Mus musculus: one gene and its partner. The protein of the gene in region 1 purifies or fractionates together with the protein of each later gene. This does not show direct contact. Links are inferred from orthologs where the notes say so. Each region holds a gene or a part of one and is shown on either strand. Other genes may lie near its edges.

Region 1 (4,445 bases):
GGAATCACACCTAAATCCTTGAGAGCTGTGGAAAGAGAAAGGGGTCTGGAAAAAAAAAAAAGGACAGCACACGGTCACAACGCAGTACGAGGGGGCAGGAGAGCAGCATCATTTTCAGGAGGAGGAAGCTGAGCACTCAGCCTCCCGTGTCTTTTGTTTTCTGTGTTTCCCTGCTTCTGTTTTTCTGGGTTATTTTATAACAGGTCTGTGTCCCAGCATTTCTATAGAACCTTGTCTCGCCCGCCTCCTCTAAGGGAAACACCATTGTTAAGGAAAGCTTTAGCCACGTGACAGTGAGGGGCGTGCACTTAACAGCTGATTATGTCAGCCGCTGCGTGTTGGCCTCTTCACTTGCCACCTACGTTTGCAGGGAAGCCTGAGAACTACTCAGCCCAGGCCTAGGGAAGGGGACTCTGTCACTGTAGCTCTCCTGGACCCAGACTGGCATGTTGTCCCCCCCTCCCCAAAATCGAGTCTCTATTCTCTTTTTATGAATCAATGCTCTACTTTTCTTTTGAAAACATAATTTGTTGCCTCCTCTCCTGAGGCTCTCTCTCCCCTACCTATCCTTAATAGAAACAGAGCCATCCTGTTTACCGAGCATCTACTGTCAGTCCTGACGCTGAGACGTACTTACCTTACTGCTGAGAATACAGTAAATGAGACAGATGGGCTTGCTGCTGGGTTCATGAACCTTGGCTTTTGTATTCTAAGCAGCAGGAATAAAAAGCCCAATAAAAAGCCCTTGCCACCCAGCCACCCATCCTTTTTCTGCCTACTGCTGCAACTGCCCTCTCTGCTGCCCCTTTTGTAGTACTGGCTTCCTGGTCCCCACTTTTGGGGCAGCCCTAAATGTGGGTGGCTGCATCCTCTGCAGAGGCAGCACTAGTCACCAAGTAGGCTTCCTGGAGACCTTTTCTCTGATTGGCTAGTGAAGCACCTGCTTTTGTTTCCTTTCACAGTAGCCATTGGCTTTCCCTGTCCTTTCCGTTTGTCCGTATCCTTCCATCACCCACTCACCCCTTAACGACACGTGGGCCCTCAATTGCCCTTCTCTCAGGATCTGAAGGGTCAGAGGAAAGGGTTGGATTCTTTATAACAAGGCTGGGGAGAGGCCAGGGAATGTCAGTCTAGGTTTTTCTCTCTCCCACTTCCCTTGGGTAGCAGACATTTCATTCACCCGGCACCAGGACAGGTGTCTTGTTCTGCCAAGCTGGTCAGTTTAGGAAGTAGGTTTCTCTTGAGCACTTCCTGTGGCCCAGGTATCCTCCCTGAAAAGGGGTAGTTTCCCTCCCTCACTTCCCTTTCATTATTGACGGTGTGAGACATCCTGATCGCATTGGCTGACTGAGCGGTGTCTGAGGCCCTTCAGCCCAGCACCAGCACCCAAGTCCACGTGCAGGGATGTGTGTGACACAGCCCTGACCTCAGTGGGGGCCAGTAGCCAATCAGATGCCAGGAAGAGATCCTTAGCCAACCGGGGGCGGGGCCTGCGGCTCTTCGGGCAGAAGGCCAATGAGGGGCAGGGCCTGGCATTATGCAACCCGCCTCCCAGCCTCGCGGAGCTTCTGGGTTGCGGGCCGAAACGGCAAGCGGATGGAGGGCGCTCGAACGGCCAGGTAGGGATCCCTGCTGCAATCCTAGGGTTAGTCTTTGTCCCGGAGCTTGGCCGCCACTACTTCCAACGTGATGGGTCGCTTTCAGCTCTCAGAGAGCAAAACAATAATCTGCCTTTCCTGTCACTATCCACCCTTCCCCGCCCCTGGGCCCTAGGTGTTCAACTCAACCCGTCACGGGTTGTCTGCGTTTGTTATTCGTTCACCTAATCTCCTCCTCTGCTCCTCCAGAGCAGCCATCCTGAACCTAAGAGACCTTTAGCGAACACGACCCCTTTACACATTGCTCGACACTCGGGAGTCCATGGGTTTGCCCTAGCCCAAAGACCCCCTTCAGGCTTCTGCGCTCCCTGTCTTCCTCCCTCCAATTCCTGGCCTCGTGCCGGTCGTGATGTCAACCGCTTCAGGCTGGAACATCCTGTTCTCAGCGCTAGTTCTTGCTGTTGGCCACAGCCTTCCTTCCCTTTTCTCCTGGCGCTCAGAAAATACTTGGGATGGGGGTGTGGTTAGACAGGGAGTAGAGGAAAAACTATATATGCTGGTTGTTGTGTGTCCCCTATCTATGTGGTAGTAGGGTTAACTAGAAAAGTAAGGGACGAAGGAAGATGCCTGAGTCGTTGCCTATGGCAAGTGGTAACTCCAGTCCTGGTGTTTGGGAGTGGGCAGGGGCTTGAGAAAGAAAAGCAGTGTCTTGATCAGAATAATGTTCGAGGCAAGAGCGAGGATGGGGGCGTTTCCACAAAGAGCAGAGGCCGAGTGGGGAAGCTAGGACTTGCTCCTGGAGTTCCTCTAGTTTGTTACTCTTCACATGGCTCCTAGGCTCTTTGGGCCCTGGGAATTTGTTATGGTGGGTGTTCTTCTCCTCCCCGCTGCCCTGAACCTTGTTAGCCAGTATGAGGGTGTGTTGGCCAGTATAGGACTGGGTCTGTTTCCCACTTCCACGAAGATGGGGATTGGGGGAGGAGTCGTTCCTGCCCTCCTGTGGTCCCTCCAGCAACCGCTGAGCTCAGCGGCTGACGTCGGTTTCCCTGGCGACCGCGGCTGTGGCGGAAGCGCGTGGTGGGGCCAGGCACATCGGCGCGCATGTGCAGCGGGGGTGGCACCGCCCCCGGATAAAATTAGCCCGGAAGCCTAAATATAGGAGGCGATCAGCTCACCCCCTGCTCCGAGGCCTCAGAGTCCCAGACCAGGTGGGGACCTGATGAGAATTTGGGCATAGGAAACCTGCAAGCTTTGACCCTCAGCTACTGTTCTAGTCGATTGTTCAGGCTGTACTCATTCCACACTGGCAAGGGGTGTAAGAGATGGCCTACGAGAGCTGCCTTTCTACCTGTGGTATCCTTAGGTCCCCCTAAGGAAATAGAACATATTTCTATTGCAAGCCCCAGGCCTGAGTCACAACAGTGAGGGGCAGGCAGAGGAAGGACTGGGTGTAGCCAGCAGATGCTGTGGGGTTAATAGCTCAGCTTTTGCTAAACATTCCTTTTTGGTTTCTTTTTCTAGGTGTCGTGATTAAATTAGTCAGCCCTCAGAGACAGGCGTCCTACCTCCTTTATCCAGACCTCAAAAGCCCCGTTGTGCACCCGTGGTGGCTTCTTCACCTTCCCTGTTTCGTCCTCCACTGTATGGCCCAGACATGAGTGGTCCCCTAGAAGGGGCCGATGGGGGAGGAGACCCCAGGCCCGGAGAACCTTTTTGTCCTGGAGGAGTCCCATCCCCTGGGGCCCCGCAGCACCGGCCTTGTCCAGGCCCCAGCCTGGCTGATGACACTGATGCAAACAGCAATGGCTCAAGTGGCAATGAGTCCAACGGACCCGAGTCCAGGGGCGCATCTCAGCGGAGTTCTCATAGTTCCTCTTCTGGCAATGGCAAGGACTCAGCTCTGCTGGAGACCACTGAGAGCAGCAAGAGGTGTGTACGAGTGTATGTGTGTGTATGATGGCATGATGCTGCTGACCACGTGGCCCTCCCTCACCTTAGCCTGTTCCTTCTTTTCTAGTACAAACTCACAGAGCCCATCCCCACCCAGCAGCTCCATTGCCTACAGCCTCCTGAGTGCGAGCTCAGAGCAGGACAACCCATCTACCAGTGGCTGCAGGTGTGTAGGCTGAGGGCTGAGGGAGATGCCTGGGGGCCGGGCCAGACTTCGGGGCTAATATCTTTACCCCTTCATTCCTGTGGGTCCTGCAGCAGTGAACAGTCAGCTCGAGCCAGGACCCAGAAAGAACTCATGACTGCACTTCGGGAGCTCAAACTTCGACTGCCACCAGAGCGTCGGGGCAAGGGCCGCTCTGGGACCTTGGCCACACTGCAGTACGCTCTGGCCTGTGTCAAGCAGGTTCAGGGTGAGTGAGTTGTGCTTCCTGGCAGGGTCTGGCCAGGACTTGGACTACTGTAGGGGCCTTTCTCCTAACTGAATATGGCTTGGATTCCCTTCTCCTACAGCTAACCAGGAATATTACCAGCAGTGGAGTCTGGAGGAGGGTGAGCCTTGTGCCATGGACATGTCTACTTACACCCTGGAGGAATTGGAGCATATCACATCCGAATACACACTTCGAAACCAGGTCAGTTACAGCTTGGGTCCTCAGTTCTAACCCCCCTCCCCGCCCCCCCACCCCCCATTCCTACAGCTCCTAAGTCTTCCCCCGGTCTTGGTCTCATTCTAGGACACCTTCTCTGTGGCTGTGTCCTTCCTGACAGGCCGGATTGTCTATATTTCGGAGCAGGCAGGTGTCCTGCTGCGTTGCAAACGGGATGTGTTTCGGGGTGCCCGCTTCTCAGAGCTCCTGGCTCCCCAGGATGTGGGTGTCTTCTATGGCTCTACTA
Region 2 (3,645 bases), about 52 Mb from region 1:
GAAAGGCTGCCACCCACTTCTCAATCTTGTGTGGATTCCAGGCATCTAGAGAAGGGATATGGGCAAGTGATTAAGGGCCCACACAGTGAGTAATGCTACCCAGCAGTAGGTACCCTGCACTATCCACAACTTTATTCTCCAATCATAACCTGGGAGGGCAACTGACACAGTGCACAAAGAGCAGTAACCAGGGCTGGTGAGATGGCTCAGTGGGTAAGAGCACCCGACTGCTCTTCTGAAGGTCCAGAGTTCAAATCCCAGCAACCACATGGTGGCTCACAACCATCCGTAAGGAGATCTGACTCCCTCTTCTGGAGTGTCTGAAGACAGCTACAATGTACTTACATATAATAAATAAATAAATCTTTAAAAAAAAAAAAAAAAAAAAAAAAAGAGCAGTAACCATAGCACATGGCAGGGATGCTGGAACCTCGTGCCTCTCTGGAGCCCACTATGCTCCTTTCTGACCACTATCAGGCTGCAGCACCCTTAGGCACTCTAGGCTAGCACATTTTCAGAACTTATTATAACCCCTTCATGCATTAAGCTTAATTCTTATGCTGTTTTGTTCTACTCCACTTGTTACAAAAGCTAATGCCCTCACGAAGACTGTCCTACTGAGGATGTGCCAAAGGGCAGGCGTACAGGACTGGGACTCTGCTGACCTCTTTTTGAGAAAATAAAGTTAAAAATAAAACCCAACAAAACGGAAAAGGATAAAACAACAAAAGAACCAAAGAGCACATGAAACACATACAGATGCAGAGACACACAGAGAACTCCCAATTAACACACAACACCAGAAACCATAAAACATAAGCAAAAGATCTGACAGGAAAAGCAAAAGAAAAAAGAACAAAAATGTCCAAACAAATCATTATGAGACAAGGAACCCAAAAATGCCATTGAGTTCATGCTGTCTTGTTCATCTACTGCTGGGCATGACATTTATCCTTAAGAGTGGCTTGTTTTGTATAACTGGTGATACTCTGTTGGAGATAGCTTCTGGTTTAGGGATGGTCGCTTGTGTCTACTTCCTCTCTTGGGGCTGGGAACCCATCTGGATTAGGCCCATAGACAGTCTCTGTGAGTTCATATGTGCACCAGCCCTATGTTTGGAAGGTATGTGTGGATGTCACCAGGTATTGTTCATCTACCTATGGCCTCCTTTGATTCTATACCCAGGATAGGATACAATGGACATTAAGGGAATACAATGGCCACTAAGATGGACACACAATGGCATGCAGCTACTGCCTTAGACATTTTGTTAGAGAAAGTTGGTTTCCAGGAGAGGTAGAATTAAATTGCTTTTGCTGAGGGAGGGCAACAAAACATCAAACCAACAGTTTCCCTTTTCCTGCTGAGGCCAATAAAGAGTCTGTCACATGGTGGGGGGGTCACATGGTCACATGGTGGGGGGCTCTCCTCCCTATTCCAACTATCACAGCACCACAGAGGCTTCTGTGGTTTGTTTGTTTGTTTGTTTTTCAGATACAAATCCTGTCACAAGCAGGCTCCTATCCTAGGAGGTGGGGTTGGGTCTCATGGTCTTGAAAGCCTCAAATTAGAGCTCCTGTTTCATCAGGCAAACTACTTAGTACTCCAAGGTCTTGCAGTAAAGTTTTACAGAACTGAGAACAGTGACTTAGCTGGGAGTCAGAGAAGTTATGTTCAAAACTCCTATCCAAGAGAAAACTGAAACTTCAGAGTTTTATGAGACTACCCTCAAGTTCTAAGGAAAGCATGTGACCCAGAAGAAGCCAGCTAGCAGGAAGCACTGTGCTGTGACAAGGAGCACCATGTTTACTTTGAAATTTACACAAAATCCATCTTTCAAAGACATTATCATTTAATGGGAAGCTAATAGGGGGAGCTCTTAAGCAAAGCCCATTAAGTCTGCTTCCTCTGGGGTGTGAGGTCTGCTCTATCTGTAGGCGATGTATCTGTAAGCTATGTATCATCTGTAGGCTATGGTAGACATGAACTGAACATGAACCTTACCTCCTCCCTGCATCATTTTGTAGATCTTGCTCTCAATGTGGAGCTGAGGATGTTTGGTTTTGACACATTCAAGCTTGATGGCAACTTCTTCTCCCGCAGCAATGTCCGTACCTTACAAACAAACAAAGTTACATATATTATTCTGTGTCTACCACATAACCCAAAGCTTTTGGGTTATTTGATATCCATTACATCTTTGTGAGGCAGGAACAGTGCTAGGGATGGAATCCAACACCCTTGCACATGGCCAAAACCATGCCACTGAACCACACCACACCCTACCCCTTATAGTACTGGCTTCCTAAGACGGACTAAATGATAGTGCTTTGTACTTCCTATTAAGAGAAGGTACTGCTGGCTGACCAACACACAAAAAAACTATCTTTATTCAAAAACATGTAAGAAAACATCTTTGACATTCTACCTTCCATTTTTACCTGTACCCATTGTACCCACCAGCTAGTCAATATAGCTGCAGGCCCCATTCCTTCTACCCACTCAGGGCTAACTAAGACAGAGAGCAATGGGATGCTTCTCTGTGACGGTTTGATAGGCCTTTTGGAGCGTGCCTGAGTCTCCCAAGAGGAGGACAGCTGAGTGTCCCCCTATTCTCTCTCCTCCCGATCTCAGGCCAGACAAGCCTGACGTCTACCCACACACCTCAACAGTTTCTCACCAGTGGTTCTAATGTGGACACAATCATCTCCAAACAAACTACCATAGGCTTAACAAAGACCCTCAACTAAACCAAGGGAAAACTCTCCACTCCTTTTTGTAGATCAGACTGGCCTTGAATTCAGACTGACCTACCTCTGTCTCTCAAATGCTAGGATTAAAGGCAGGTGCCACCCTCAGCCCCTTGGGGCCACAGAGTTTTTGTTAATTTGTGACGATGTTACGATAACTAGGGCTGTGGAATTTGGAGGTAAAGACGGTGTTATCTGTAAGCATCCCTTTCATGCTTTACTCTAAAAGCTCCCACATAAATGTTCCTCAGTCTACCTGGTCCAGGCTGCTTCGGAGTTTCCCTGCTTCTGCATGGTACATCCAGGACCTAACATTCCACACAGCCCTCTTCCTCGACAGGTTGTTTCTAAGTGGAAAGCAGTTCTATACTCCAAGGACTGTAGTTATTTGAAAAAGATTTGTACTTTTCTTTTCTTTTTTTTTTTTTAAATAGAGCCTGATACAACCAAGCATGACCAGGTTCTGTGCTGGGTAGAGAAGCTGTGGACTGAGAAGCCTGGCTAGCTCTCCGTGACTCAATCTCTTTGTTAACTGAGATGGGAGGGGTATGCAAGAGTTTCACAGGGAGCCGAGGAATGAGTCACTTAGGTGGCCTATAGGCATAGGGACAACCTAAAGCCAACAAATTGTGTCTGCTGCCACCCAAGAATCATAGACAAGTCATTTTGGTCTGTCAGATGGCTGGCTGCTCTGACCACACCTGGGCCAAAAGCCAATCTCCGATGCTGCAGATCTGTAAGAATAACAGGAATGCCACTGACATATCTAGGTGGAAGAACTTCACTTACTACTCCACAAGAAATCTTTGGGAACACTATAGTAAGAAGCAATATATCTTATTCTTCTTGCCTACAGTCAGGGCAGCTTATCCACTCACACAAGAAATGACTTCAT

What was found.
Region 2: the proteins of Per1 (region 1) and Csnk1d purify together in Homo sapiens (affinity purification with mass spectrometry; 4 studies listed by BioGRID and IntAct, counting the BioPlex papers as one, with this or other methods). This does not show direct contact. The link is inferred for Mus musculus from reciprocal best matches to the Homo sapiens genes PER1 and CSNK1D.

Annotation. Positions count from the first base shown.
Region 1 is NC_000077.6:69,097,390-69,101,834, forward strand, and holds the start of Per1 (period circadian protein homolog 1), read left to right. Parts: upstream 1-1,559; 5' UTR 1,560-1,619; intron 1,620-2,762; exon of another isoform or gene 2,763-2,806; intron 2,807-3,119; 5' UTR 3,120-3,252; coding exon 3,253-3,527; intron 3,528-3,615; coding exon 3,616-3,714; intron 3,715-3,806; coding exon 3,807-3,961; intron 3,962-4,061; coding exon 4,062-4,183; intron 4,184-4,285; coding exon 4,286-4,445. UniProt on the Homo sapiens protein: Transcriptional repressor which forms a core component of the circadian clock.
Region 2 is NC_000077.6:120,981,229-120,984,873, forward strand, and holds part of Csnk1d (casein kinase I isoform delta), read right to left. Parts: intron 2,116-3,645; coding exon 2,005-2,115; intron 1-2,004. UniProt on the Homo sapiens protein: Essential serine/threonine-protein kinase that regulates diverse cellular growth and survival processes including Wnt signaling, DNA repair and circadian rhythms. It can phosphorylate a large number of proteins.